7 linked regions of the Danio rerio genome follow. The main gene of each other region encodes a partner of the protein of the gene in region 6 in a complex. Links are inferred from orthologs where the notes say so. Each region holds a gene or a part of one and is shown on either strand. Other genes may lie near its edges. The genes, in order: lsm3, snrpd2, snrnp200, prpf8, usp39, lsm4 and lsm5.

Region 1 (4,941 bases), on a different chromosome or scaffold from region 6:
AATGAATCTGTTAACGGTTTAACTGTGCTGTTCTCACAAGTGCTGTCTTATATTGCACTGATGCTGTTGACATATACTGTACCTTATTATATGCATACATGTTAATAGCAATACCGTTTTTTTTAGGAGTAGCGATGAAGGTTTACTCAGTGTAAGCCCGTTTGCGATGGTGTACGTGGTGTTCAATTTGACATATAGCTGCCACTTTCACGGCGGACAGCATCTGGCGATTATATGAAGGATTAAACAGAAGCTCTCGTGCTAGATGTGGCAAACAGTTACCTGAAAATTACATCCCACAGACTTTTCATAGTGGACTTGAAGCCAATGGAAGTCTTCCACTCTTGGAAAAGTGTAGATGGTGGATTAACATTCAGCACATGATCACTAGTATGATGTGTCATTATTTATAACTTTAGATGCCATGGTTTCTAAAACAAAATCTGTCAGGGTTATCTTTCTCATCTTCAGCGCTTTACAATTTTCGCGGTAGTAGCCCTCTCTGTCGTCCGAAGCCAGAAGGCGACTGAGTGATTAACAGCTGATATTAACCAATCATTCGCATTCAGTGCTAGAGCAGTGGTGGGCCAATAAGAAGAGCGCAAAGGCAGGGCAAGCATTACGGACTTGGATTTGTTTACTGCAACAAGTTGACATGATAACTGTTTTAAACCATTCCCGAGCGCTGCATTTTTGCAGACAAAGAGCAGACAAACTGGTTGCACACAACAATTTTAAGCTCTCGCAGAAATGCTCCCAAATATATTTTAAGGTCGCATAGATAAAATTTCGGGCGCATATGCGACCAAAATAGTCGCAATTTCGAGCCCTGTTAATGCAAATATGGTAAATAAAAGAAAATAAATATTTAAAGAAATGAATATTAAAATAATAAAAGTATATTTATGTCAACATTTATCCTTTTTGGTTGTGCTGTTTAATTCACACAAAGGAAGTTGTATTCAGTACATTTTTGGTCATCCATAAGTTTATTTACCTCTGTAAAATACAAAACATTTACATTTTTCTGATCCCTTATCTCTGTGATTTGTTATTAAAATCAAACAGATTTTTCAATATACTGTTCATATATACATACGTACTGTTAAAATAACACATTAGAACTGCTGTAGACTATTAGTTTAGACTTGTATTTTAGATCTAAATACAATTACAATATAAATATTATTTTAATCCTCTGTATGTTTCCTTTCTTTTACTAAACACTTTACATACTACACTAATGCGTGTAGTCAATTATTAGGATAAAACATTTGATTATTACATTTTAATAGATTTTATCAATTCACTTTTACATGTTTTTATCCTTTATTTTCTCCAAAAAATCCACAGACCAAATTCATGTGACTTTAATAACAGAACATAATACATTTAGAGACATAATTGAACTTGAGTCTGTATAAAATGTAGTATTTTCCCTCAAGGGCAGAATAACTAGAGCAGTGGTTCTCAAACGTTTTTCATCAAGTACCACCTCAGAAAAAAATTGTCTCTCCAAGTACCACCAAAATGAGCAGTATTGAGATACAATAGCCTTGTAGGCCCAGTAAAGCAGCTACAACTCTGCACAGTTAAAAAAACGTGGCAGATTACATGAGAAATATAGGCTATATGTCATATGACATTATATACATCATTTTTATCAATTTTGAAATGTGTGTAGCATGTACATGACATATTTTATTCCTCCACGTACCACTAGAAGGAAGCCTGCGTACCACTAGTGGTACACGTACCACAGTTTGAGAACCACTGAACTAGAGTATATAATATGTACAATGTGGTAGTTTCTCTCATGTGCAGTATAAATAGAGTATATAATAACTACAATGTAGTATTTTCCCTCACATGCAGTATAACTAGAGTATATAATATTTATATAAGTATTTTCCCTCATGTGCAGTTGTAGTTTAATTAGTATATATATATATATATATATATATATATATATATATATATATATATATATATATATATATATATATATAAATAGTATTCCCAGAGATGGGTTGCGGCTGGAAATGCATCTGCTGTCTAAAAACTTGCTGGATAAGTTGGCGGTTCATTCCGCTGTGGCGACCCCGGATTAATAAAGGGACTAAGCCGACTAGAAAATGAATGAATGAACATAAATATAATAATGATAAATATAATATGCCTAATGTTTGCCTCAGGTGCAGGATAACTAGAGTATAATCTGTTTAATTTAGTTTTTTCTCTCAAGCGCAGTCTAACTAGAGCAGGGGTGGCCAATCCTGTTCCTGGAGATCTACCTTTGCTTTGTTTGAAACAATATTTTTTGTCATTATTAGTGCAAACTTATATGAGCGATTATATCATTAAATGTGGAGGGGGGCCTAACAATATTTTCCAGGGAAAAAGGGGGTCTCAGGCAAAAAAAGGTTGGGAACCAGTGAACTAGAGTATATACTAAAGTAGTATTTCTCCCGCACATGCAGTCTAACTATAATATTTAATGTTTAATTTAGAATTTTCCCTCACGTGAAGGCTAACAATATATCTATAAAAGTACTTTACCTCAAGTGCAATTTAATAATGTTTAATGCAGCATTTTCCCTCACATGCAGATTAACTAGAGTCTATAATATGTTTAATGTAGTATTTTCCCTCACGTGCAGTATAACTGTATAATGTTTAATGTAGTATGTTCCCTCACGTGCAGTATAATTAGTGTAACTTATATATACACAATGTAACTTAGTATTTTCTTGCACGTGCAATGTAACTAACTTTATGTAACATTATATAATGGTTAATGTAGTATTTTGAATCAGGTTTAGTATAACGTTATATAATATGCTTAAGGTTGTATTTTTTCCAATAACGTACAGTAGAAACGTGTATTTAATGTAGTATTTTCCCCTCGTATGCAGTATATTATGTGGCATTTCCCTCACGTGCAGTATAACTAACTTAGAGTATGTAATGTAGTATTCCCCTCACATGCAGTCTGCCACGCAGTTCTCTGTCATTCCTCATCTTTACATAGATCCTCTCATCCAGACTGAGCCGAATCAGATCCAGAGGCTCTTCTACGGTGTTGGTGGTCTGTTGCTGTAAAGTAAATTTCAGTGATGTATTTTATTTGAATGAAAATGTCCATGCAAACAATCGTCGTAGTTACAAGCTGCTTTAGCATAGGCTACCCGTGTGTTCAACTAGTTAAAAATAAACACAATTAATACGATTAACCTCCGCGATAATCAAACAGCTAACGAAATATTTATACAAAGCAAAAATTGCAAACCTGCTCAGCGTCGTCCGCCATCTTTCAAATCTACCCAGAATGCATTTTCCGTTTCTCTCGCGAACAAATCATTAGACGGAAAATGCATCTGCTTCCTGTTAGACATAGATATATACGTTAGATGTCGCCTACCCTGTTGTTGTCTATTGGAAGGAATGCGTCAATAGATCCACCATGTTAGTACAGGGAACCGCTCCTTTGAAATGAATGCAAGCTGTGACCATCCAAAGCCAAAGATATACACATAGGCTATGATCGGGAGTTTTCCCGGATGTCACTGTGCAATTATTTATTTATTTATTTTTTTTAAATTACGAAAATTATAATTTTTCATCCCTTTTCTACATTGATGGATCAGTGATCGCACAGACATTCCTGAAAAAAGCTTGTGTTTGTGAGTATGGAAGTACTATTCCCCCTCCCTGTTAGATTTGAAACACATCTCCTCCTGCTTCCTTTAAATTCCGCATTTTCATATCTGGGAAAGCCCATCTCACATTTCCTGCAAAGGAAAATTAGACAATTTAGTTGTATAGTGAAAGTTGTGAGGCTGATCATCTGGATTGCATTGTTATCAAGAGTAGGCTATTTGGTGTTTATTTATATGCAATTTTGCATATGAAATTGCAACTTTATCAATTAGGCAATGTTGGGGTCACATCAGTCCAACCTTTAACAAAACAGTCACAACTGGACTTGATTTGGTTGCTTTATATGTGTAAAAAAAAAAAAGAAAAAAAAAACTTATGGTGTTTGAGGTCAAACTGACCACACTGAAAAAAAATGAGAAAAGTGGAAAAAAAATTAAGATTATTTTTTTTAAATGAATTTTAAACCCATTATAAATTTTAAAAAGTTTAACATTTCTGCAAAGGCCTGGGTCTAGAGCACAAATAAAAATTGGAAACAAAAACTTTCTGAATATTAAAATTTTCTAAATATTTTCTTTTGCATGTCACACAACATGACAGTAAATTATTATAATATTTCTTTAAGAAATAAATAACAAGTTTAGCTTGCTGCACTTGAAATTCAACTAAAAGCAAATGCTGAGAATGTGTGACAGTCAGTTAAATATATATATATATATATATATATATATATATATATATATATATATATATATATATATATATATATATATATATATATATATATTAAAAAATAGATGCAGTAACCTGTGCCTGTGTTGCTATTCAGTTATGTAGATCGACTGTGTAAGCTGAGAAAATATTTTATAGCCTACCATTCCTTCTAACGCTGAAGGACTACTGAGACATTCAAGCATGGGATGGGTCCTAAAGCATCAAGAAGTAAAAGCTGAAATGAATAGATGCATAAGGACCCCTGCTGGATATATGTGGAAACTGCAGCTTTTTCCCTCGTAACCTCAGATGACATCATTTTATTTCTAAAGTATAAAACAATATGCAGAAACCTTTTATATTAAATTTAGGACAGACTTTTATTGATTTTTAAATGAAAAGTTGATTTTTCATAAATCTAACAATGGCTTAATTTAATGCTTGAAATAATTAAACCGCTTCAATATGGTGTATTTATAATACAGGTTTAAGTAACATACATTAAGATGCATGTTTAATTAATTAGCAATAATTCGAGCACACTTCAATACAATTCTCACAGTTAAT
Region 2 (3,833 bases), on a different chromosome or scaffold from region 6:
TATATAATATATAAACCATGAATATATAAGATATATAATATATAAACTAGGCTTGGGCGGTATCCAACCGGCGGTATACCGTCAAATCTCCTCCCTATTTTAACCAGGTATCCGGTATTACCAAGCATAATAAACAAAATTACGACGTAAGGCTCAGACAGCGTCACCAAATTGTGCCTAAACCATTCAGAAACTGATACCGTATATGCGACCTTAGGTTTGCGGTCACCTGTTTGTCTTGTTTGTATTCTTCTGCGTAGGACGCTCTTTCTTCAAACACACACACACACACACACACAGAGATAGAGAGAAAAAGAAGAGAGAGAACCAAGCAACACCCAGCAACTCTCTTTCTCTCTCTCTCTCTCTCTCTCTCTCTCTCTCTCTCTCATTCACACACACACAAACACACACCGAGAGAGAGCACCAAGTGACACACGCAGATTGCATATTCGGAAATGTATTCCTGCACAACAAGAAATCGGGTTGTCCCCCGCGGTACAGCAGCAGGAATGCAGACCTCTAGTTCATATTTACCACGTCTTCCTTCTTGTTCGGTCGAATCCGGAAATACTGCCAAACTGCAGGTCACTTAGTGCGCGACTCGCCACCTCAACTCTCCCTCCCTCTCTCTCCTCCACACTGTCCCGTGATGACAATCACGCATACTTATTTGTAGGCAATAAATAAAGGATATTTAATATTGAATACTTGTCTACTATTTAAATTCAATGTTTTTTATGACGGTATAACGGTACTGAAACTGACACCGTGGCTATTTTTAGATCCTGCGGTATACTATATTACTGTATTACCGCCCAAGTCTAATATAAACATAATTATTAACTATTACTTAATAGTATATAAACTATTACTATATAACATATATAATATATAAACATTATATTAACTGTTACTATATAATAAATAAACTATTACTATATAACATATATAATATATAAACATAATATTAACTATTATTATATAGTATATAAACTATTACTATATAACATATATAATATATAAACATAATATTAACTATTATTATATAGTATATAAACTATTACTATATAACATATATAATATATAAACATAAAATTAACTGTTACTATATAATATATAAACTATTACTATATAAGATAATATATAAACATAATATGAACTATAATTATATAGTATATAAACTATTACTATATAACATATATAATATATAAACATTATATTAACTGTTACTATATAATAAATAAACTATTACTATATAACATATGTAATATATAAACATAATATTAACTGTTACTATATAATATATAAACTATTACTATATAACATATAATATATAAATATAATATTAACTGTTACTATATAATAAATAAACTATTACTATATAACATATAATATATAAACATAATAACTGTTACTATATAATATATAAACTATTACTATATAACATATAATATATAAACATAATAACTGTTACTATATAATATATAAACTATTAATATATAAGATAATATATAAACATAATATTAACTATTATTATATAGTATATAAACTATTACTATATAACATATATAATATATAAACATTATATTAACTGTTACTATATAATAAATAAACTATTACTATATAACATATATAATATATAAACATAATATTAACTGTTACTATATAATATATAAACTATTACTATATAACATATAATATATAAATATAATATTAACTGTTACTATATAATAAATAAACTATTACTATATAACATATAATATATAAACATAATAATAACTGTTACTATATAATATATAAACTATTACTATATAACATAATATATAAACATAATAATAACTGTTACTATATAATATATAAACTATTAATATATAAGATAATATATAAACATAATATTAACTATTACTATATAGTATAAACTATTACTATATAACATATAATATATAAACATAATATTAACTGTTACTATATAATATATAAACTATTACTATATAGTATATAAACTATATATAAACAATTTTTTTCATAACACAGTATGCTCTCTCTATTGTAATACATTTGACATGTTCTTAATAAGCATCATAAGCATTTACATAAGATGTCCAGTTTAAGGTATAAGGGGATATATTTAAATCCCACCCAATACTTCACCATTTCTAACACTTCACAAAAGTCTTAAAGAAATCTTATTAACAATTTTGTTTCAGTCTCATCCTCCAGCGCATATCTCATGTTGATGGTGTTATTTCAGGTCCGCACCACTCATTATTTTAGTTGGAGTGAGTCATCTACATGGCTGCATGTCAAGTTGTTGTCTGTTTTCTCTCGTGTTCTCAGGCATTGTAATATGGTTCTGGAGAATGTGAAAGAAATGTGGACAGAGGTGCCCAAGAGCGGCAAAGGCAAGAAGAAGTCAAAGCCAGTGAACAAAGATCGCTACATCTCCAAGATGTTCCTGAGAGGCGACTCGGTCATCGTGGTGCTGAGGAACCCACTCATCACAGGGAAATAAAGCTGACGTGTAACACGACTGTTCAAGTACAGGCTGTCTCCTGGACACACACTCACTCACACAACTGTGTTAAAAGTGCTAATTAGGCTTTTCAGCTAATTAATTATTACTTCATACACAGAATGCCTTGAGCTGAAACAATAATGTTTAGCTGGAAAACGTTTAACATCATCTGGAGAGATTGTCTGGTCAACAAAATGATAAAGATGTTGGAGTTAATTTTGTTGTTGTTATTGTTTTGTCATTTGTGATTTGTTTTCTAAATAAATTTTTGGATATTCAAGTCTTGATCTATTCAATCTATTGTATGACTCTAGGATGTAGGCATGGAACGATAACCGTTTTCAAGGTATACTGCTGTTCGGAAAAGTCAAGGTATTAAAACCGTCATCATTATCTTTTCATTTGTGTCTAGGGTGTATGTAGGATAATATAGTAAATAGTTTATTTCCTTTTTTTTTTTTTTTTTTTTTTTTTTAGGACAACATTATCTCCAGCTGGAAAAATATTCAAAGATGTCATTTTAAATTGTAAAGAAATCTGTGCTTTTGAAACTAATGAAAACAGCAGAAGTCAATGATTCATTTTCATTATTTATTTAGCCTGACATTTTTACTGTATGAATCCCTTTACATGATCTTCCAGCATTATACAAATTATTTATAGAAGTAACCGACCCATCAGAAAAAAAACTTTAATATTTAGCCCTGTATAAGTCTAAAATTTCACTCATGGTCTTAAGAGTCTTAAAGTCTTGCACTTGATTTGAAGAAACCTGCAGAAACCCTGATGTTGTGCTTCCCAATCTGGCCATTATTGCACATCAGCAACAGCAACAATCCTAATCTCAATACCAAACTTTAACCTTTTTATTTAAAAGGGTCATTTTTAACTCTGTTTTATCATAATGATTTAATTATTTTCCTTACAAAAACATTTGTTTAAAAGTGCTCCATATATTTACTGCTGACACCAACTTGGACAGATTGTGTATAGATTTAGTTTATTAACATTTGATCAGTTGTTTAAAGAGAGTGTATTTTGCTTGCTTGTTTTTATACAATGTTTAAAATATTTTGCCAAGAAATGTCTAAAATATTTAAAAATAAAATGTTATTATAAAATTATTATTGTATTATTAAATGTGTTGAGATGCAGAAACCTTTAAGCACCATCAGAAATTTTCCTCTTAAATGTGCATTTTTCCTTAGCCTTCTGTGTTTGAAAAAATTTGAAATTACTGAACCTACACAATCACCTGAGAAAAATGCATAGAGGTTTTTGCATCTGAAATCTTGATGTATTAAATTATAAAAAA
Region 3 (4,484 bases), on a different chromosome or scaffold from region 6:
GGATTAGACATGCTGATATTCATACAATATGGTATATACAATATATTGTCATAAATAACATCTATAATGCATGTTGGCATTATAATGTAATGTGTAACAGCGTAATGTTATAACATGTCAGATGTTCATTGAAAATAGTTATATTCTTTATGTACTTGTATGTTAGCACCTTACAGTGAAGCTTCATTTGTTAACATTAGTTAATTAAACTTAATTGATGAATGAAAACTACATGTAAACCGTTTATTTGTCTTGGCAAATGTCAACTTCCTTGTTAATGTTTAATAACTTGTTAATAACTAACATTAACTGCATTACTTTTTTAATGTAGCTATTTCTCACTTTCAATATTAGTTAATGTATTAGTAATGTTTATTGTTGCAAAGTGTTATTTATTGTACTTCATAATCCTTGTGCAATTTAATCTGCAATTTACTTTTTTGTTATTATACCTGTTGAATTAATCTTTTTGAAAACATCACATATTCTTATAAAAGCTTCAACAATCATGGCAACAAGATAGATTTATAGCATCACGCACTTATTATGCATATAGCCAGTTTGAGCTTGAGACTCAAACTTACCATCAAACTGATTGTGAGTGTTTGTGTTTCTTCCACAGAACTCTAACTTGGTGTTGCAAGCAGACAGATCTCTGATCGACCGAACACGCAGAGATGAGCCCACCGGAGAGGTGCTGTCTCTGGTCGGAAAACTGGAGGGGACCAAAATGGGAGACAGAAGCCAGAGAACCAAACCTCAGATGCTGGAGGAGAGGAGAGCAAAGTCAGTCTGATCACAAATGCATCAAGTTTGCTGGTAAAAATGTCTCAAATGAGTCAAGGATTTACTAAACAAATGTGGTGCATTGTGTGATGCAGGAGGAGAAAGAGAGACGAGGACAGACATGACATCAACAAGATGAAGGGCTTCACACTGTTGTCTGAGGGCATTGATGAGATGGTGGGCATTGTGTACAAACCTAAAACCAAAGAGACCAGAGAAACATATGAAATCCTGCTCAGCTTCATTCAGGCCGCTCTTGGAGATCAGGTAGGAACAGTGTCCTTGTTCATATGTGCTATGAATATGAAATTTTAATGGAACTACTGTAGATTTTGCTAGGGATGCGCTGTTATAAAAATTCTGGTTGATGACTGCTTTTTTGTTATTGGTGACAGATTTATATTTTAAAAATCTATATTTAAAGTATATATTTATATAAAGTATAAATGTTGATTAATTTGAATCTTTTTTTTTATTAATTACATTTTTTTAAATATTTGTGTTTATTTTTGTTCAAATCAATGAACATGGATTAAAGAAACTGTTTCAAAACATCCAGAAATCTATCAAAAAAATTGTGCTGACCTTTGTATGTTTGTGTAATTGCAAAATTACATGTTGATAAAGCAAAAGTTAATCTCTTTATGAATCTCTATTTTTAACAATCCATTAAGTGTAAAATGACAATGCTTTATTAGAAATTTGGGCTAATTTTGTATGTTATGAATGTAAGAAATTGATAGAATTTTTTTAAAATATCACAATATAAACTACATATATATTTTTTAAAATCTAAGCCAAGGGATATCCTGTGTGGAGCAGCAGACGAGGTGTTGGCTGTGCTGAAAAATGACAAGATGAGAGACAAAGAGAGGAGGAGGGAGGTGGAGCAGCTGTTGGGGCCTACAGATGACACACGTTACCATGTCCTGGTCAACCTGGGAAAGAAGATCTCTGACTATGGAGGAGACAAAGAGCTACAGAATATGGGTATTTTATTTTAATTTTTTTGGTGTCCAAGCTCTCCTCAACTTGATGTCCAGGTAGATTGTGCTTTACTGTCTGTCTTTTTGCAGATGACAACATTGATGAAACCTATGGAGTCAATGTGCAGTTTGAGTCCGATGAGGAGGTGAGCTTTGGCTTTGGTTGAATTATGATAATGTGTTTTTTGCTCTTTAAGTGACGTCATTGTGCTGTTGGTTCATCTGCAGGAGGGTGATGAGGACCAGTATGGAGAGGTTCGGGATGAAGGCTCTGATGACAGTGAGGGAGAAGAGGCAGATGAAAGCAGCACACTGACTGCAAATGTAAGTCACATGCTCCACGTGTTTCTGCATGTTATAATAAAGCAGTGACTTTCAAGCAGGTCACTGGGTCCCACAATTTTATATTATTATTAATGACTAAATTGTCATATTTATTTATTTATTTATTTAAAAGTTAGATTTTAATGTTATTTTAACATTTTATGTAAGCTACCTTTGTAATACTGCTTCAAATAGTCAATAATTTTAATGAATTGTTTATAGATAATAAACACTATAATAAACTGTTACAGTTGCAAATTCACAATTAAATATAATTACCCAAATGCCTGCAATTAATCCAACTTTATTACAGATTAGATAATGGAAACACACAAAAAGCAATAACAGCCACAAAATATTACAAAGGCTACAATTAACCAAAAATACATTGTCACCAACCCTCAGTTTAATCTTAGGCCTAGAAGTTTGAGCTGTTTTAACTTGAGGAAGTTTGCACTGACAGGTCTTAAAATATATCGTCTGTTTTGTTTCAAGATTTTTTAAAGGACTTTTATAAAAAATTACTTGTATGCCAAATATAAACTAGGGCCTTATCCTGGAAACCAGGCTTTAGAAATAATCAATGAAAAAACTACACCTGGATCATAAATAAGTACATAATAATAATAATAAATAATAATTATAGGGTTTACAGATCACTGATATAAAGTACAAGAACCAGCTTATCATTTTCTTTCTCCATAGCTGGGAAACACAGGAGATGTAATGATGACCAAAAAGAAGGATCTTCACCCTCGAGACATCGATGCCTTCTGGCTTCAGCGACAGCTCAGCCGCTTCTACAACGATGCCATCGTGTCCCAGAAAAAAGCAGACGAGGTCTTGGAGATCCTTAAGGTAGAGAATGTTCATGTCCTTAGAGACTAAGGGATTTGTTTGTATTTGTTTTGTTTTTGAGTTGCTGAATGAAAACTTTTTTTGTTAGACTGCCAGTGATGACAGAGAGTGTGAGAACCAGTTGGTGCTGCTTTTAGGCTTCAACACATTCGACTTCATCAAGGTCCTGCGCCAGCACAGGCGGATGAGTAAGTAGATTGTGTTGGATTAAATGGATTGGAATTTTTGAGAATGTTTCGCCAATGTGACTTAATGTTAAAAAGATATACTGCTTTTTTTTTAATGTTGCTTTTTTGTCATATTTAGTCCTGTACTGCACCATGCTGGCCAGTGCTCAAAGTGAAGCAGAGAAGGAGAAGATCATTAATAAAATGGAGGCCGATCAGGATCTTTCCAAAGTTCTCTACCAGCTGCAAGAGACTGAAAAAGAGGACATCATCAGGGTCAGGAATTGCCCTCTGGTTTTATTCACATTAGTGTTGGACTGTTTGAGATTTTAATCATTTAAAGACAAATGTCTGTCTGTAAATTTATGATGTTGTGTTTTCTTGCAGGAGGAGAGATCTCGCAGGGAGAGAATGAGAAAATCTCGTGTGGATGATCTGGAGTCTATGGACATTGATCATGGCGAGGTAGATCCCACTTAATGCTGTGTCCACCTCTTAAAATTAGAGTTAAATGTAATTTTTCTCAGTTTGATAACCACTCCTAATGTGCATTGTGACACTTTATTGTTCTGTGTTTTTTGTCTTTAGTCTGTGTCCTCAAGGCAGCTATTAGACCTGGAAGATCTGACCTTCACTCAAGGTAGTCACTTCATGGCCAACAAGCGCTGCCAGCTGCCTGACGGCTCCTTCCGCAAACAGAGAAAGGGCTATGAGGAGGTTCATGTGCCTGCACTCAAACCCAAACCCTTTGGTGATGAAGAGGTATTTATCTGCTAGTTTTTCTTTTCTTATTAGGGATAGGGATTTTTGGTTAATTTATTGCCACATCAAGTTGGCTAAGTAAAACAAAAAAGCTATTAAGCTTTCAAAAGCTATCAAAGATCATACTGAAATCTTGTGGAAACATTGCTATCTAAAACTGTATTCATATTTTAGCATTTAATTGTTATTCCTGTGATGGCAAAATGTAATTTCCAGAGCAAATGCTCCATTGTTTAGTATTGCATGATCTTTCAGAAATCTTTCTAATATGGTGAATATCCATATAACAAAATGGATGTGGTTTGTTTGTGTCGCAAGAAAGATTTATTTTCGCTGTTCTCTAATCACTATGCTTAAGTGAACACTATTGATTTGAAACAGAAATACTTTGTAACATCTTTGCTGTCAATTTTGATCATGTTAATGCTGTCTTGCTATATACATTTTTTTTTCCATTAAAAAAAATGTTATTGGCCATTTTGAACAGAAGTGTATACAACAGAGTTTAAATTGCTGGTTGATTGGCCAGTATTTCACTTTTCTCTTATTTCTTTCAAAGACATTGGTGGGTATTGAGAAACTGCCCAAGTATGCTCAAGCT
Region 4 (4,957 bases), on a different chromosome or scaffold from region 6:
ATATATATATATATATATATATAGAGAGAGAGAGAGAGAGAGAGAGAGAGAGAGAGAGAGAGAGAGCTAACATTTGACAAAGGAGAACTTCCAGAATCTGTCTCAGTTCAGAGCTGGATTCAGCTAAAAACTCCTTCAATTGATGAATTGTGAGCCACAACCTGTTTTTATTAGTTAAAATTGATTAATTACATACACAGTTTCTAGTGTTAACGGTATGCTGTAGCGAGGATGTAAACAACAGGAAATGCTGTTTGGCACCGCTAACAATTTAGCTACAAATTCATATTTATCAGTCAAACACTTGTAAACACCCAGTCTTCACTAGCGCTGCAGTGTCTCTACAGTATGTAGACGCTTTCCGTGCGTTTTACATCTCAAATAACAAACTCGCAAAAGAAATGTGAAAAGTTTATATTACTTACACATGCTTATTCCCAATATATGTAAAAGACGCTTGAGAGATTTTATTTTAGAGAGCAGGCGTGATGTTTATCGATGTGCACTGTACTTCATTTTCTGTCCGATTCAGCTACTGTTTACACAGCACCAAGGCGTGGGCTTGTAGGGGCATGATGCGAGCCGATCCGCAAATCACAGCACATGTTAGCTGACCGATCAGAGCCTTTTGAGGGCGGGCCTTTCAGAGGAACTAGGAAATATGACTGTCATTTTCATGTTAGCTGCCTTGCTGTATATAATCAAAGTAAGATATAAAAAAATAACATGACTTTCTACAAATGAAGCATGAGCACACATTGCTTTGCATCTTTTACAACACAACCAAGCCTTAAAAATACACAGTAGACCACCCCTTTAAATTATTTTTTTCCACCAAACTTGAGTACTGTTATTTTATCAGTTAATATTACATTTAAATGTTAACACATTTTGCCATATTAAGTTGAGTGCTGAGCTGTTCAGTGTACTGTAACAAATGCATGCAGATTGGTTTCCTCTGAAAGCATAGTGTCCTTGCACTTTAGATAATAAAGCTACTGTTAATTTAGTAAACAAACCAATAATTTACTCTACGAAACAAACCAGAGCTTATAAAAGTTGTAATCTTTATTTAAACCCAAACTACAGTGTACATAACAGATGCACAACATAGCTACAGGGAAAAGACAAATTATTCCGGATTTATAAAAAACACAATGTACTACAAACAACTCCGAAAAAGGGTACAGATATTTTTAGACAAAAAAGTCATTCATCTCACAACAACAGACAAAGCACAATGTGCTTTCAGACTTGTGCATAATCAAGTCAATGACAAGCAATTAATGATAAAGCAAAAAACAGATGACATGCTTCGAGTTTCCAAGCATTTACATTACTGCTAACAGTATAGAGGGACAAAACAGAACCAAAGCATTGCTTTAGCCTGTGGGTGCTTTTACTTTAAATAGTCTCTGTTTGTACTTATGCATACATATCCTCACGGTCAGCATTGTAGATTTCACCCTCCTGCAGAGAAGCAAAATTGAGGAAGTGAGACGGTCTGTGGACTTCATGGTAGAACTCTTTCGGATTGGCCAACTGCAGGTCATACTTCATGTTGGGATCATGGCGGACACCTAAAACAAGAAAAGAGAAATTAGCAAAAGTGCACTGTGGTATCTGCAATTTACAAACGTGTATCACTTCAATATATATCATAAAAATGAATCTATGCTCACCCATGAAGTTGTAGTTCCAGGAGACTTGGCCAGGCACCATGAAGAAGCCAAGGAAACGGTCAGACAAAAGCATCTGAACCCTTTCATAGTGTGAAGGCAAGTAACCTTTGGGGTTATTACCCTTATCTGTGTTTTGTCGACCCCACTCATATCCACTGGGAGTCAGCTTGTAGGCCGTCAGTGTGCAGGAACCAGGGGTGAAGCTAGACAAGCAAAACCAATAGGTTTAAGTCTCACATGCAATACTATATTATATGTAATGCAGTACATTATAAATTGGAAGTTAGGAACACAGCCACATTGTGTTAATGTGTTTAATCTATACCTGCAAGTGATAATGATAGTCTTTTCGCCATCCCAGGATGGGTTGTCAGCCATGACCTTTGCATGGGTGGTGACATCCTGAGGAGAGAGCTGGGGCGATTCATTGGGCTGTGTATGGATCCATCCAAGAGGCTCCATTTCCTATAAAAGAAAAAGGGCAGCATTTGAAAAGGCTGGGAGGACACAGACTGCTGATAACACCAAATTAGATGTGCAAATACAACAAATGTGCATGTGTAAATTCCTGACCTTCAAGTACTCGTGTTGTGGCAGTTGGTTGGGAAGGTGAACGGTCTGATGTGTACCCCACTGTGGCACCATCACAATACAGCGGATCTCCTTCACCTGAGGGTTATCTGGAGGGCTGGTTCCATACAGGTAACCTGCAATCTGCAAGGGGGGAAATATACAAGCACAAATAATGCAAGAAAGGTAGTGGAAAACCAATTTTTTTATTTAATTTCAAATAATTATTTAAAAAAAAAAAGGCAGATTATCAAGTTATGATGCAGAAATAGACGCTTTTCAATATTACACATAAAATTATATATTAAAATAGTGTTAGTCTCATGAATTGCCATACTTTGAACTAAAGAAACTTTCTCCTCCAAGTCTAATTTGTTTTACTCATAAAATTTTTTCAAGACTCCCACAGATCATATACTGTTTAAATCTGATATCATGACAGCCCTGAAATGATTCTAAGCAAAAATAAGAGAAGACATTTTAATTAGACTGTTAATCTAACCTGAGCACGCAGATCTGAGATGCAGATGAACTTCTTCAGAACGTTCTTGGGCAGGATGTAAGTGTAGCCCGTTTCTTTGATGTCATCCGATGACACATAGATGTGGTTGGTACGCAAGTGCAAGTTTGCAGCAGAGATCGCCCTGTGAGATGAAGAAAACGGTTTAACAGCGAACTTTAGCTGTGCTTTAATGACCAAAAAGACAAGAAACATTTCCGTACCTTACTCTCCATTCAGTTTTGGAAGAGAAGGTCTGCGTCTCGTAGTTGCTGGTGGTGGAGGTGATGATCTCATCTCCGTGTTTGTTGACTGTGCGAGTCTGAGTGGCCGTAAGCTGAGACTGCTCTTTGGTCTGCTTCTCAATCTCAGCGATCTGCTGTCTCTGCTGGGATGGAGCAGAGATTTCCATTCCCAGGATGATGTCCCTGATTTCAGACTGAGTCAAAGATGCCACATTCACACTGTGGAGAAGATTGAGAATTTACAATCTTGAACATCCCAAAGTATATATTTTTGAATGCACTTGGAAATCTGTATTTCTTACTTGTTCTTCTTGCCATAGTCAGCCAGGATGAGATCTTTGAGCTGCACCTCCACTTTGATCCACTCCTCATCCGTCAGAGTGGGCCAGATGTGGTGGGGCTCGGTAATGGTGGTCTTGTCAGGTTTCAGAATAACTTTGGCACGATCATTGTTGACATGAAGCGCTCTCAGGATCAAAATCAAACGAGAGAATGCCTAGGCAACAAAAACAGATTTTAGTTTTAGACATCGTAGCATAAGTGGTGGAACTCTCAGAAACAACAAAATTTTGCTTCAATGATTATTTAATTTAATGAATAGCTTATATTTATTAAGTTTATAGAATAAAAGCTGGATTTACAGTGTAAGAGGAGATGGTCTTCAGCCAGTCGTCATACAGATTGAACAGGACCATCTGAGGCTCTGTGGCCTTCAGAATGAGGTCTCCAAACTTCTCCACTTTCAAACAGGCCTGGAAGGGGAGCTGGAGCTCAGAGCCTTTGATTACAATGTTGGGGAAGTCCAGCAAGTGCACCTGGAGAAAACAGATAGTTGTTAACCTAAGAGTTAAGAGCTTCAACACTCGTTTTGGTTGCTAAAGGTTAAGTGCCTAACCTCAAGAGGATCCAACATGCCCTTCCTGGTCACAATAATCTGTTTGGGCTGCTCTTCAACAGGCAGCGATCGGATCAGGGCAGCCACTTCTTCAGCAGTCTTCCACTTAGCCAACTACAAAGGCAGAACCAGTAACCAGTCGGATAAGTAAAAAAAAGTACAAAAAAATAATAATAAAAAAATAAAAAACAACTGTGTAAACAAAATACGAGTGATAAACAGACCTGTCCAAGACGCTTTTGTCCAGCCCATACAGAAGTGTGAATGATCTTCAAGAAAAGCTGTCCAGTTCTGGGGTTGAAGATGAAAATGGCTCCATTGATGGGTTTGGTGGTCAAGTTACCTTCAAAGGTCTGAAACAGGATAAAATTGACATTTTACCACACAACCCAAGGTCAAAACAATCAAAACAACAAGGAACATCTTTAAAATGTTGACTTGCCTTGTGGATGGTGACTCTGTACACATTGGTGTCATCTACAAACCAGATGATCTGGTTTGAGAAGAGCTCTCCATAGTTCTGGGAGGACAGGTAAGGCTCAGTGGGCTCTGAAGAGTAGAGTTGCAGACCCTTGCGGATTCGCTCTCTTAACACATACAGAGCCGGATTGGCCTTCATTATCTTTGCCATTGCCTGCTGGATCAGAGGCTTGGCTCCGGGAAACCAGTTTCCATAGGCACTGCAGAGAAAAGAATAAATACTTGAACATCTGTTTTTTTTTTTTAAAGATTGTTCTTGATTATGTGACAAATCACATGATCTAAAAATCTGACCTGTGAAGATTGTAGGCCAGATCAATGGCAATCAGAACTCCAGTGGGTGATGGGTAAATACTCATGTTGTCAGTGGTGTAGTCCAAGAACTTGGCCCTGGCATATCTCTCAATGTCATGAGAGTCATAGTCACCCCATCTGAGCTGAATGTCAATCCAGAATTTCTGTGTGGTGGTGCTGTCCATTACATCCCTGTAGAAAGAAATGCAAGAATCTTAAAACAGGGCATCAGTATGTCACTTTCATGAGGGTATATGGGCTGGCACCATGCATGACATGATTCCACTTAATA
Region 5 (3,993 bases), on a different chromosome or scaffold from region 6:
GTAGTGAAGCACATCTGCATAAAATGTAATTTCTGTGTTCAGCCAATGCTGAAACAATAATTGAGGTAAAGTTGATTTTATATTGGCACATTCTGACTTTCTCCCTTAATAACATCTTTTTAGAAAAGTATTATTTGCAAATTCTAAATAGGGAAATCATATTAGCAGCCAATGACTATCAAAGTACAGCATTGCTAACAGTCAATTAAATAGTGCTAATGTTGTTTTGAAGTCATACTTGAACACAATTTTAAACCTAATATTTAAATTAGCCTAGTAAACAATACAGGCTAATATACTATATATATATATATATATATATATATATATATATATATATATATATATATATATATATATATATATATATATATATATATATATATATATATAACAAACATGCCAATATAAGGAACTTTACCTCAATTTAATAATATATTGTGCAGCCCTACAAAGCACACAACAATAAAGCAATAAAGATATATACAAATCATAATAACAAACCTGTTGATTGTGTCGAGATATGGACAATGGCGGCTTCTGCGATCTTCAACATAACCACGACCCACTTTCACACGCACTTCTAAAATTAGCCAAAGACAAAATATAAGAATTCATAACAAATCACAGCTCTCAGTTGTCATGTGGTTCTCTGTTGGGTAAGATTTCTCAACCAACTTCCAACGATATCCATCGTCGTCGTAGGCGGTTGTTGTTAAATATCAATTTATTCATAAAAAATTAATTAATTGTAGCCTACCGTTTTAACTACCTGACCCACATAGTCTTTATAACAAAACCATAAATAAATAAAAGTTACACAAAAATTACCACCTGTCAATCACTTTTTTCCCGTGGGACTAGGCAGACATGAATAGGTAGAGTGATCTGTGCCGTTCTAATGGCTTTTTCCCCACCGCTGGTGGAGGAGACGAGAGTTTGTTTGGAGTTCAGTGTAATTTGTATTGTGATTGATGATAACTTCCTTATTTTATAATTTTTATGAAGAAATAATAACAAGTAAAGATGCTAGGGTTTGATCGTTTGGTCGCATATGCGTCCGAAATTTTATCTAAGCCACCTTAAAAATATTAGGAAGCATTTGTGCGAGTGCATAAATTTTCACTGTTTTCACAACAAAATCCTCACCGCATGCGCATATTTAGGAGACATTTATGCAGAATGCATCTTTGCACCTAAAATTGTGCATTTTTGTCAGTCTTGGGGCAGGACTTGGTTTACTTGATATCTCTCACGCTATTGGTTACACCCCCCCCCCCCCCCCCCCACCCCTCCCCCCCCGGATTAATAAAGTGACTATGTTGAAAAGAAAATGAATAATAATATATATATAGCAATAGTTATTAAGATTAAAGTATACCTTTTATTTAATTTTAAATAAATGAGGATATTATCCACGGCAACTTAGTAACACAGTTTGATATATTTACCTTCAGCTCACGGCCCTCAATCAAGTTTGGTTTTTGGCACTTCATAATAAAAAGGCACCCATGGTTTAGAGCTTGGCAATTACCACTTTCCAGAAGACAAAAAAATGTATCTATTTATCTATTATATCTACAGTATATTTATCTATTATATCTACAGTATATTTATCTATTATATATATAATGAAATAAAACTAATGTAGCTCTAGAAAACTTTAGGCAGAACTGGGACTTTAGTGCATCAGAGAAATGCCCTCATAGCTTTTTATAAAGAGAATTTTTTTTTTATAATTGAGCTGGTATTTACTCAAAAACATTGTTGGGTTACAGCTGCACCACTTTCGAAAATAGTAACAGAGGAATAATACAAAAGTTGCTGTTAATATTACTATTATTATTACTTATTCACACATTCATTCATTTTAACGGTCCTCATATCGTTTACTATGCTAGTTTAAATATTCAGTCTGAAATAATAATAATAATAATAATAATAATAAACAACATTTAAACCAGTTTTGTCTGACACATATATTGTATTTTAAAAGAAATAATCCTTAACGTGTCTATATATGAAAAATATTCATAGCAGTCATATTTAATACAAGTGCAGTGTCTGCTATCGTTTCAAATGACTTTTGTGTAAATTAAACATTCGGTTGTAGCATACCACTATAATTAAAAGAAATATAATTTCAGAAAAGTGGTTATTGTAAATTCTAAATAGGGAAATCATATAGCAACCAATGAATATCAAACTACACCATTGTTTACGGTTAATGAAACAGTGCAAATGTTGTTTTGAAGTCATACTTGCATGTTATTTCAGACCTAATATTCAAATTATCGTGGTAAACAATATAGGTAGCGTTAAAATGAACGAATGTGCAAAGATAAAGCCAACTTTACCTCAATAACAAACCTGTGTTTCATTTTGCATCTCCAGTAAACGTATCTTAAATGAAATAACTTAGGTTTAGATCTTTGACCTGGAAACCAAAATATTATTTATGCAAGACATTTATTTAAGATTTAATGCCACGACTTTCATTGTGTGGACCTTCTTACGTCTATTTGAGGGCTTTATTTTAAGAAAGAGAGCTTTGAAAAGCCAAAATCAACACTCAATTCAAAACAGACACGATAATCTGTGTATATCTGTGTCGTGTGCTACAAAAGCTAACGTTACCAAGTACTGCTAAGCTCATAAACACTCCAGGCATACCTTCCTCTTCATCTTCATCAAAATCCCTCTCCCGTTTCACGCCTCTGATCATATTTTAAGGTAAATAGCAACTATAAATCAAGTAAATTCAGCGCTGAATGAACGCACTGTGAACGCGTTACAAAACTCCCGCTTGCACTTCCGCTGTAGAAAAGGATGGCCGACAAGCACTAAACCCCTGGACCAAAACACAGCAGAATGCGTAAACAAACACCCAATGGTGTTATCTTGATTTTTCATTGCTTATCATATAACTATATACATAAAACTGGATATTTGTTTCAAAGAAGAGCCAAAAAAGTCGAGCTAAATTGTTTTGTGGATGGAAAACAAACCAACTCGAGTGTCGCTTTTTGTCGGACAACGCTTTTGAATCACCGACCCCCAGTGAGCAGCGGCGAGATGTTATAAAGAGAATGTTTGTAGATGTGCTAAAGATGAATTCATTTCAGGAATAATTACATTAAAAGAGCAGAAAGTATGGAGATCATCCGCGATGGGGAGGGGGAGAATGCTAAATATAAGCCCGGTGGTCGTTTGGACATGAGCCACGGTTTTCTGAGGCACATCAGGAGGAATCAGATCGCCAGGTTTCTGTCCACAACAACACTCACTAGTAGAGGAAAACACTTATAATTATAATAAATGAGCATTTTAGTGCTTTACAATGCGCCTTGAAATAGTCTTTTAACATGTCAACAAATGGTTCTAGTTCTAAATATACTTGACAATCATTTTTGGGCTGTTAAAACTGTTGTGAATGTCATTTTAGTGCGTGTTTTAGGTAAATCATGGTTAAAAATGCATGAAAGTCATTATTTGTTGTTCAGATAAATAAATAAAACTCAGCAGGACACATTCTAATGGATTTAATCGCAATTTGAAACACATTTTACTGAAATAAAAACTAAATGTCAATAATGAACAACATTTATAGTTGTTATTGAGGTAAAGTTGGTTTAATAAACGCACATTTGTTCATTTTAATAGCCCTTATATTGTTTACTTGGTAAATTTGAATATTGGTTCTTAAATAGCATCTAAATATGACTTCAAAACAACATTAGCACTATTTAATTGCTCGTAAACAATGTTGTACTTTCATATTCATTGGCTGCTAATATGATTTATCTATTTAGTATTTGCTGATAATACTTTTATAAAATTATATTAATAAGGAGAATGTGTCTTTTAATATGTGACCAAATGGTTCTTGGTCTAAATGTACCTGACAATCATTTTTGGGCATGTTAATGTCATTTTAGCTGGTGTCTTTTATAAAGCATGTAATCAAGTCATTATATGTTGTTCAGAATAAGA
Region 6 (3,923 bases):
TGGAATAATCGTTTATCTCGATTAATGTTTTTTTATAATCGTTAGAAGCCGAAATCGAATTTTCGATTAATTGCACAGCCCTAAAATGAAGTGCTGAACAATAATTGAGCTTTTAAGTTAATCTGCTTTTCTTTTCAGCTGGTTGAGTTAAAGAATGGCGAGACATACAACGGCCATCTGGTCAGCTGCGACAACTGGATGAATATAAACTTGAGAGAAGTTATTTGCACTTCACGGGTAAATACGACTTCATTCAGATGAAAACGTCTTTGGGAGACTATTGATTCCTTACAAAATTAAGCAAAACACTTGTTTGTTTTATTTAAACAAATCTGCAGGTTATTTATTTGTCTTGCTGAAATGTGACGGCTGTTTTTTCTGCTTGCTCTGATTTGCAGGATGGAGATAAGTTTTGGAGGATGCCAGAATGCTACATAAGAGGAAGCACCATTAAATACTTGCGAATCCCTGATGAAATTATAGATATGGTGAAAGAGGAAGTGGTGTCAAAGGGCCGTGGCCGGGGTGGCATGCAGCAGAATAAGCCACAAGGAAAGGGCAGAGGAGGTGGACCTGGAAGAGGTGGCGGACCTGGCAGAGGTCTGATGCTTTTATATTCATACAATAGATCATATCATATAATCATTCCAGACATATATAGCCCTCCTTTTCCCCCAAGTTCTGTTTACTGAGAGATTTTTTTCAGGACATTTCTAAACAATAGTTTTAATAACTCATTTCTAATAACTCATTTCTTTTATCTTTGCCATGATGACAGTAAATATTATTTGATTAGATCTTTTTCAGGATGCTAGTGATCAGCTTAAACTGCCATTTAAAGGCTTGATTAGGTGAACTAGGCAGATTAGGGTAATTAATGGTAATTAATTGCTTAAGGGGGCTAATAATATGATAATAAATAATGAAAATAAAATGGTAAAAAACTGCTTTCATTCTAGCTGAAATAAAACAGACTTTCTCTAGAAAAAAATATTATCAGACATACTGTGAAAATTGATTTGCTTCATTAAATGTCACTTGAGAAATCTTTGAAAAAGGATAAATAATTCACAGGAGGGCTGACAGTTTTACTCTCATTGGTATATTTTTTTAAATGTGTACACGCAGTTTTGGGCTTAAAGGGCCATGAAACCACCTCGTTTCAGCAGGGTTTTCTCACCTCTACTTTGGAAAAAGCCAGAAAAGTGGGCGTGTCCAGCTCTGTTTAGGGGGGAGTGTCGGAGGAACTAAAGTGGGATGGTGTGGGAGTGTCTATTTGGGCACGCGCGAGTTTCAGTCAAAATACACACACATGAGAAAGTGATGGTGTTTAACCTACATGGACATCTGTAGTCGAATTATTTGCCAAATTATTAAATGGGTGACTTTAACTGCAGTTTGGCTCTTTCATTCAGGGAATTCATTCATGCCCCTCGCGACAAACGTGATATTTGATTCGAGGAACTGCTGTAAGCGTGTATTTTTCATGCAACGTTTGATACCGCACGACGAATGAGAGAAAAAAACCCTCCGCATTTCCCAGAAACTTAGATACACACGGCAGGTAGCGTCAGAAAGCCACGTGTGTTATTCCGGTCACAAAATGCGGTGCTATGTTTGCACTCAGTGCAATAGTTAACTTAATTCGATACGAACAAACTGAATAAACAAAGAGCACTGGTCGCTCACTTACCAAATCTGTAGAGACAGGACAATCACCAGCAACTAGAGCCGCGTCATTATGAAGAGAATACTAACGTTACAAGCGAATCCGGATTTCAGCATTTGCAGATGAGAACAGCTCTCAGGTAAACAATAATCCGCCTTAGACACGTAAGTTATTGTTGTCAAGCGTTGCGTACACTAAGGGGAGAGAAAAGGAAAACGAAACTTAATGGCAGCAAACTATAAAAGAAACACTTCACGCTTGTTTTGCCAACACAACGTGGCGTCTCTGTCCTGAAAACACTGTGATAGTAATGAATATTAATGAAGTTGCACAATAGGGCGCGCTGATTGGTTTGAACCAAGCTTTGCTCATGCATTAATGCATCACACTGTAAGACGTAATAAGACACACTCTATCACAGACGCCCAGTCTGCACGCTGGAATACACGCTATTATGTCATGGCCGTGACGCAGCTTCAAAAATTCGTTTCAAACAGGAAGTACGAATTTGCTTGAAATAACGCAAAAACAACCAATTTACATTTTTTAGTGAAATATAGGTGTCCTAATAGTGTTTTTAGCAGTGTGGGACACATATACCACTGTCAACAGCTCAAAAAATGTGTTTTGGTGTTTCGTGACCCTTTAAAGTTTTTTCCACTTGCCCTGACAATTTTAACTCTCCACACACGCACACACACACACGCGCGCACACACACACACACACACACACACACACACACACACACACAGATTAAAAAAAGAAATTCCCATTCTATTTGACAGGTGTTTTTGGTGGCCGTGGCAGAGGCATGCAGGGATCTGGCCGTGGACAGCAACAAGACAAAAAGCCTGGAAAACAACAAGGTGTCATAAACTAACAGTAGATATAAAACAGATCCTCCTTTTATTATGGGCTCCTAAAAATGACAATTCTGTGTTTAATTACTCTCCCTCATTTCCTTAAACATGAGACATTTGTTCATCTTCAGAACCCAAAATCTAAATCCTAAATCTGAGAGCGCCCTCGTCCTCCATAGACAGAAAAGTGGACAATGTTATCGTGCGACGTAATGTTATGTGTATTTATGTAGCACATTTATCGCGAATAGCCATGCAACCAAAGCACTTCACAGTCTTAAAGGGGGTCTTTCCACTCCACCACCAGTGTGCAGCATCTACTTGGATGATGCGACGGCAGCCACAGGACAACGGTGCCAGTGTGCTCACCACACACTAGCTATTGGTGGAGTGGAGTGGAGAGACAGTGATAGAGCCAATTCGGTAGATGGGGATTTTTGGGAGCCTATGATAGGTAAAGGCCAATGGAGGGAAATTGGCTAGGACATCAGGGTTACACCTCTTCTCCTTACAAGAAGTGCCATGGGATTTTTAATCACTACAGAGAGTCAGAGAATGTCTCATCCGAAAGACGGCGCCCACTGACAGTATAGTATTCCCTTCACTATACTGGGGCATTAGGACACACACAGACCACAGGTTAAGCGCCCACTGCTGATCACACTAACACAACTACAACAGTAACCTAGTTTTCCCATGAGGTCTCCCATCCAATTACTGACCAGGCTCAGCTCTGCTTAGTTTCAGTGAGTAACCGGCCTTGGGCTGCAGGCTGATATGCCTGTGGCTATACAGTTGAAGTGTACATACACTCTAAAAAAAAAAAAAAGGAACAAAACCATTTTTTAAATGTCTAGTGTAAAATCATACTAGTTTACTATTTTAGGTTCGTTAGGATTACCTAAATGATTTACGTTTGCTTAATGCCTGAATAATGAAAGAATTTTTTTTTTTTGAGAATTTTTATTTTACTTTCTAGACAGTCAAAAGTTTACACACATTTCCTTGGTATTTCTTTTTAGCTTTGATTTCAAACTGTATAATCTGGGCAAATGTTTTGTGTATCCTTCCACAAGCTTCTCTCAGTAGTTTGAAAGAATTGGCCATTCCTCCTGACAGAATTGGTGTAACTGAGTCAGATTTGTAGGTCGTCTTGCTTGCACAAGCTTTTTCAACTCTGCCCACAAATTTTCTATAGGATTGAGATCAGGGCTTTGTGATGGCCACTCAAAAACATTAACTCTGTTGTCCTAAAAGCACATTTTAACTAATTTGGCAGTATGCTTAGGGTCATGATCTGTTTGGAAGACCCATTTGTGGCCAAGTTTTAATTTCCTGGCTGATGTCTTGAGATATTGCTTCAGTATTTCTACATAATGTTTTTTCTTCATGA
Region 7 (5,221 bases), on a different chromosome or scaffold from region 6:
AACATGTTTTTGGACTTCCACACAGAAATGCCAACTGACCCAGCCGGGGCTGTGAACCAGTAACCATCTGGCTTTGAGGTGATTGTGCTACCCACCGCTCCACCATGCAGCTAAATTTTTTATGTATTTCAAATGTGGGTCAAGAAACCATGTAGCCCATATATCAATATTTAACATCTGGGCCAAATAGCCTTCTACATTTGACATCTGGACCATGTCATGCGTGCCACCTTAAAGGCAGTGCTACCTGGCAAACCTGACCCCTGTTTGGCTTACATGCTGTATGCCAGTGCTGAATAAATGAATGCTATGACGAGAGGGTCTGGGTGCAGACCTGGTGCAGTGCAATCTGAGTTGCATACAATACTTTTTAATAGCCCCATCTAACCCCACCCCTAACCCTACCCATCACAGTGACGTCACTTGCTCCATTTGAGTGCATTGTGTCTGACACTGTATCGCTGATTGATGCAATCTTAGCTTGCATCATAAAGGCTGCATATTGGCTATGCCAGCTTTATACCAAATCTGGGCCAGAATTCCTTGTTACCTGGGTATTGATGTTTCAAGTCTGAATACAACCTTAGGCCTATAATGATTTTTTTTTACTCTGGAAGTGGAACAGTTACAGTATTGTCAAGTTTTACAAAAAATGGAAACCTATTGTGGAAGTGTACTGTGTTCTGTGTTTTGGTTTCCGATTTGGTCCGTCATTCCATCAGAGAGGAGATACTGGGAGATGGAAAAATTAATCAAGCTATAATCAAGCTATAAAACTCCAAATTACCGTGACAAATTACTGTGACATACAGTTTGGTAGCCTATATGATGCAACATTTTGACTGACTGACATGCCCTTTAAAAGAAAAAACTTGGGTAACACTGCTCTAATGTTACAGCCACAGGCTGTACAAAAAGCCAAGCCCCTCTCATGCTATCGATGTAAACAAAGTAGTAATCTGTTCAGATTCATCTTCAGCCTTAGTTAGTATAGCAAACTCAAAATCAGATAGAGAGGATTTAATAACAGAAATCTATTTATCTTTATATAGATTAAAGGAAATAGGAGTAGTCGTTTATTTCTGCTGGGTTCCATCACATATTGGGGTATCTGGTAATGAAGTTGCTGACAAATTAGCAAAGGAAGCACTAAATAAGCAAGAGGAAGTAAATGTACCTCTGGGGAAAAGAGAGGCAAAATCGATTTTAAAGGAAAAACTAATAAATAAATGGCAAATTAGATGGGATAATAGTAATACTGGAAGATGGCACTATAGTATTATACAGACAGTAGGGACAACACTAAATCAAGGAAGAAATAGGAAGGAAGAGGTGTGGTTATCAAGATTAAGATTGGGACACACAGGGTTAAATGCAACACTTGCGTTAATGGGTTTACATGAGGATGGGAAATGTGATGTATGTGGTGTAACTGAAAATGTGGATTATGCACTATTTATATGTAGCAAATATAATAAACATCGCAATATGTTATTCAGTCAGTGTGGGGAAGATAAAACAATATATAAAATTATTCTAGGAAAAGGTATAATAGATTGGCAAGTATATAGAGCGTTTATTAGGTATATAGAGTATTCGGATTTAGGTTATTATAGTCTTATATTTATGGATGAGAGTATTCTCAATCATTGTCATAAAGGCCCTTTATGTTAGAGGAGCTGAACACGCAGTGCTGACATGAGTATGTGGTCTAGATGCAAAGATTGGACAATATGAAACATCCAAGGTGTTTTTTTCCCCCCTTTCCCTCCCTCCTCGTTTCTTTTTGTTGCCCTTTCATCGGAGTAAGATTCGGTACAGTAGGTGGCGATAATGCTTTTAATTGTTAGTCGCCATAAAACAGAAAGAAGAAGAAGAAGAAGATGCTATCGATGTGTGCTGATATCGATTATCCATGCTTGTAATTGGCTTCCGGTCCCGATTATTCAGGTCTGTTATCAAAATGGCGGCAATCACAGCAACGAATCCTTCGCAGCTTTTACCACTCGGTTTGTTTCACTTTCTTTAAAATTGCTTATCATTTACTGACATAACTTTTGTGTTTTTGTACGGGGCAGAGATGCCAATCAGTCACGTTCGTAACTCACTTTGCTTTTTTATCTAATTGAATACACCTGTGCACAAAAGATGTGGCCCTAATCATGTCAATGTGTTTTTATTTTAACTTAAATATTTAATTTCACAAATTTATACATCAATGTGTGATTGATTATATATAAACGGAAGCCAGTTCATTTAGTTAGTGTGGGCGAAAAAAATAAATCACTAATATGTTTCCCTCTGTTGGAGTTTAAAATATTGTAATTATGACTTGGGAACACATTTATCATTAACAATTTCCATTAAGATGTATTTATAAGTAAGATACTCTGAAAATAAAATTTTATGTATGAGTTACGACATTAGAGATACCGTGTCAAATGATTAAAAGCCACTCCACTCTTTACTCGCAGGATTTTTTTGTTGTTGAGTCAAATAAGCCTAAAATTAGTACTTTAAAGAATGAATTTGGTATTAACATATTACTCAATCCCACACCTAGTGTTAAAGCCAAAGAAATTTTAAATTTTATTAAACGTGGTTCGTTAAAAACTTACCTTGGCTGTATAGTTGTTGAAGTAACGTTTAACATAAATTGAATTTCTTTACAAGGTTTTACAGTTGTATATCACACTGACCACTCAAAATGTTTCCTTTAACAGCCAATGATGTGACTGTGTTTATGATGGGGATTGTGTGCTGTCTTTCAGAGCTGGTGGATAAGTGCATTGGCTCTCGGATTCACATCGTTATGAAGAACGATAAAGAGATTGTGGGAACTCTGCTTGGGTTTGACGACTTTGTCAGTATCCTTTACCTACTGGCGGTAAAAAAATAAACAAAACACTGTCAAATATTTGTGATGTTTACAATTTAGTTTTGGATTCAACTTTTTTTTTTTTTTTTTTTTTATAAATACTGCTAGCTAAAGATATAGTTACACATAAGATTTCCCTTTATTTCCCTTAGTCCGTTTATTAATCTGGGGTCGCCACAGCGGAATGACTCGCCAACTTATTTAGCATATGTTTTACGCAGCGGTTGCTCTTCCAGGGTGGAAAATGGCATAACGGCAGCAATGGTTACTGAACAACAACGTTGTGGAATCAGTCTGCCTAAAGAATGTTCATTAGCCTGTGCTTTAGTTTTAGCATTTTAATATAAGAAAATGTCCAACAAAAGAACTCTATCATATTTACAGACTCCAAATCATGCCTCCAAGTGATGGAATCTTCAGAAAATGATCATCCTTTGATTAATGATATTATAACTAAAGTTCACCATTTACAAAACCATTTTTTTTCATATTTTTTTTTTTTTTTTTTTGCTGGGTTCCGGGACATGTTGGGCTTTCAGGAAACGAGCGAGCTTGATCCAGCAGCTAAGGATGCTTTGAAATAAGTTGTGAACGAATGCCAAATTCCTCTTTTAGAGATGAAATCTTTTATCAACGTTTACTTTTTAAATAAGTGGCAAGAGGAGTAGGATGCATTGAGAAATAATAAACTGTATGAAATACAACCTGAAATCTCAAACTGAATTTTTAGTCATTTTAAGACTAAATTTGATTTAGTGATTTTTACTAGATGTTGTATTGGACATGCAAGAATGATCCATGCTTTTTTTTTTTGCTCAAATGTGAAGACCCTGCTCAATATTTGCACATCACACTTTCTTTTACAGTAAAACAGATTTTACTGGATTGTCCTGCTTTTAACAATTCCAGAAGGCTTTTTTTTTTTTTTTATCAAATGATGTCTCTTCAGGACATTTTTAGCAAAATGACACCTGGAAAATAGTAAAAAAATTATAAAAAAATGTATTAGCATTTAAAGATGTATTTAATTTATGTATTCATTTGTTTTTGTTTTTTAATTGTATATTTATTATTGAAATGTTCTTGCCATGAAAATAGCCTTGCATTGCTGACATGGCATTAAATAAAAAAATACAATACACTACATCACATGTTGTCAACAGAGAAATGTAAATGTCTATGTAATGTTATCTTTGCGATGTTGTACATTTCCTTGATGCTTTACATCAGACATGGTCCTAGAGGATGTCACAGAATTGTAAGTATATTTCCTAAACAAAAATATTAAATATTTGCTTAATTGTCTTTGCACAGTGTATTCATGCATTCTCTTCTGCTTTGACTTAAAGGATAGTTCCCTCAAAAATTTTAATTGTCAACATTTACTCAACCTTCTATTGTTCTAAATGCTGTTCGAGTTTCAAACGATCAGTATCCTGTCTCCAAAATTTTAGGTGTTTGTTTTATTAGGATAAACTATCAATAAAAAAAGCACTTTCGTTCTAGAGATTAACTAAAGCTCAAGTTTTATACCATTAGACTATTTATACTGTATTCTAATTATTCTATAAACTATACTGCATAGAGAAGGCATTTTCTAATCTTTTTAGAAACTTTTTTTAAAGTATGCTTAGTTAGAAGTTCAATGGTATTAGCAAATTTTTATCACTATTGAAACCGTTTAATATTTTGTGACATTATTATTAAAGAATAATTCCAAGTATTATCATTGATTAAAAAAAAAAAAAAATCAATTGAATGTGAAGTGTACTTGAATGTGAAGTGTACACTCATGTATTCAAGATGCAAGGAAAATTGGATTATGAAGTATTTTCACAAGAATTTATAGATGTAGGTTACATTTTTGAACACTTGGTATTAAATATTTCCTCATCTCGGGCTTGTGTGTTTGTATCACAGTGAAATCACACCAGAGGGAAGAAGAATCACAAAACTGGATCAGATTCTCCTTAATGGCAATAACATCACAATGGTATGACAAATAAGTTCATCTGCAAGTAATCTCATGCATGCACCAGCAAACAATATTTGCTTTAATGTCATTTTAATTTTTTTTCATTATTTTAAAATGTAATTTTTAATGCAAGTTTATGTACATTTTCTGTTGTCAGAAGTGTTCTGTTTTGGCATTTTGTAAACTTATTTCAATTTTACATTTTTATAAACAAAAACAAAGAAGTTTGCTTCTGTCATTTTAATAATTAGCTTTTTTGCTATTCCAGTTTAATCTCATATTATTTATAATGTACCTAGGGTGTGAATTATACATTGACAAATCGGTGTCAGTGGTCCACTTTTTCAGTAATGTTAGTGTAATACAAG

The links.
Region 1: lsm4 (region 6) and lsm3 share a complex: the UniProt entries of both Homo sapiens proteins name them as parts of the precatalytic spliceosome. The link is inferred for Danio rerio from reciprocal best matches to the Homo sapiens genes LSM4 and LSM3.
Region 2: lsm4 (region 6) and snrpd2 share a complex: the UniProt entries of both Homo sapiens proteins name them as parts of the U4/U6-U5 tri-snRNP complex. The link is inferred for Danio rerio from reciprocal best matches to the Homo sapiens genes LSM4 and SNRPD2.
Region 3: lsm4 (region 6) and snrnp200 share a complex: the UniProt entries of both Homo sapiens proteins name them as parts of the U4/U6-U5 tri-snRNP complex. The link is inferred for Danio rerio from reciprocal best matches to the Homo sapiens genes LSM4 and SNRNP200.
Region 4: lsm4 (region 6) and prpf8 share a complex: the UniProt entries of both Homo sapiens proteins name them as parts of the U4/U6-U5 tri-snRNP complex. The link is inferred for Danio rerio from reciprocal best matches to the Homo sapiens genes LSM4 and PRPF8.
Region 5: lsm4 (region 6) and usp39 share a complex: the UniProt entries of both Homo sapiens proteins name them as parts of the U4/U6-U5 tri-snRNP complex. The link is inferred for Danio rerio from reciprocal best matches to the Homo sapiens genes LSM4 and USP39.
Region 7: lsm4 (region 6) and lsm5 share a complex: the UniProt entries of both Homo sapiens proteins name them as parts of the precatalytic spliceosome. The link is inferred for Danio rerio from reciprocal best matches to the Homo sapiens genes LSM4 and LSM5.

What each region holds. Positions count from the first base shown.
Region 1 is NC_133197.1:33,571,862-33,576,802, forward strand, and holds the start of lsm3 (U6 snRNA-associated Sm-like protein LSm3), read right to left. Parts: upstream 3,374-4,941; 5' UTR 3,311-3,373; coding exon 3,290-3,310; intron 3,097-3,289; coding exon 2,986-3,096; intron 1-2,985. UniProt on the Homo sapiens protein: Plays a role in pre-mRNA splicing as component of the U4/U6-U5 tri-snRNP complex that is involved in spliceosome assembly, and as component of the precatalytic spliceosome (spliceosome B complex).
Region 2 is NC_133193.1:43,800,822-43,804,654, reverse strand, and holds the end of snrpd2 (small nuclear ribonucleoprotein Sm D2), read left to right. Parts: intron 1-2,340; coding exon 2,341-2,515; 3' UTR 2,516-2,798; downstream 2,799-3,833. UniProt on the Homo sapiens protein: Plays a role in pre-mRNA splicing as a core component of the spliceosomal U1, U2, U4 and U5 small nuclear ribonucleoproteins (snRNPs), the building blocks of the spliceosome.
Region 3 is NC_133183.1:33,113,506-33,117,989, reverse strand, and holds part of snrnp200 (U5 small nuclear ribonucleoprotein 200 kDa helicase), read left to right. Parts: intron 1-622; coding exon 623-786; intron 787-881; coding exon 882-1,053; intron 1,054-1,583; coding exon 1,584-1,776; intron 1,777-1,862; coding exon 1,863-1,918; intron 1,919-2,000; coding exon 2,001-2,096; intron 2,097-2,801; coding exon 2,802-2,954; intron 2,955-3,042; coding exon 3,043-3,142; intron 3,143-3,260; coding exon 3,261-3,397; intron 3,398-3,508; coding exon 3,509-3,586; intron 3,587-3,709; coding exon 3,710-3,883; intron 3,884-4,442; coding exon 4,443-4,484. UniProt on the Homo sapiens protein: Catalyzes the ATP-dependent unwinding of U4/U6 RNA duplices, an essential step in the assembly of a catalytically active spliceosome. Plays a role in pre-mRNA splicing as a core component of precatalytic, catalytic and postcatalytic spliceosomal complexes.
Region 4 is NC_133190.1:30,754,306-30,759,262, forward strand, and holds the end of prpf8 (pre-mRNA-processing-splicing factor 8), read right to left. Parts: intron 4,858-4,957; coding exon 4,666-4,857; intron 4,572-4,665; coding exon 4,334-4,571; intron 4,245-4,333; coding exon 4,116-4,244; intron 4,006-4,115; coding exon 3,892-4,005; intron 3,812-3,891; coding exon 3,638-3,811; intron 3,493-3,637; coding exon 3,299-3,492; intron 3,216-3,298; coding exon 2,976-3,215; intron 2,897-2,975; coding exon 2,755-2,896; intron 2,397-2,754; coding exon 2,256-2,396; intron 2,148-2,255; coding exon 2,008-2,147; intron 1,886-2,007; coding exon 1,683-1,885; intron 1,581-1,682; coding exon 1,426-1,580; 3' UTR 1,044-1,425; downstream 1-1,043. UniProt on the Homo sapiens protein: Plays a role in pre-mRNA splicing as core component of precatalytic, catalytic and postcatalytic spliceosomal complexes, both of the predominant U2-type spliceosome and the minor U12-type spliceosome.
Region 5 is NC_133180.1:74,850,277-74,854,269, reverse strand, and holds the start of usp39 (ubiquitin carboxyl-terminal hydrolase 39), read right to left. Parts: upstream 2,801-3,993; 5' UTR 2,726-2,800; coding exon 2,674-2,725; intron 584-2,673; coding exon 505-583; intron 1-504. Other genes in the region: si:ch211-283h6.4 (UPF0561 protein C2orf68 homolog), read left to right, coding at 3,154-3,263.
Region 6 is NC_133186.1:6,962,111-6,966,033, reverse strand, and holds part of lsm4 (U6 snRNA-associated Sm-like protein LSm4), read left to right. Parts: intron 1-138; coding exon 139-237; intron 238-398; coding exon 399-600; intron 601-2,455; coding exon 2,456-2,536; exon of another isoform or gene 2,537-3,923. UniProt on the Homo sapiens protein: Plays a role in pre-mRNA splicing as component of the U4/U6-U5 tri-snRNP complex that is involved in spliceosome assembly, and as component of the precatalytic spliceosome (spliceosome B complex).
Region 7 is NC_133187.1:13,906,208-13,911,428, reverse strand, and holds the start of lsm5 (U6 snRNA-associated Sm-like protein LSm5), read left to right. Parts: upstream 1-1,881; 5' UTR 1,882-1,963; coding exon 1,964-2,009; intron 2,010-2,771; coding exon 2,772-2,867; intron 2,868-4,108; coding exon 4,109-4,136; intron 4,137-4,798; coding exon 4,799-4,871; intron 4,872-5,221. UniProt on the Homo sapiens protein: Plays a role in pre-mRNA splicing as component of the U4/U6-U5 tri-snRNP complex that is involved in spliceosome assembly, and as component of the precatalytic spliceosome (spliceosome B complex).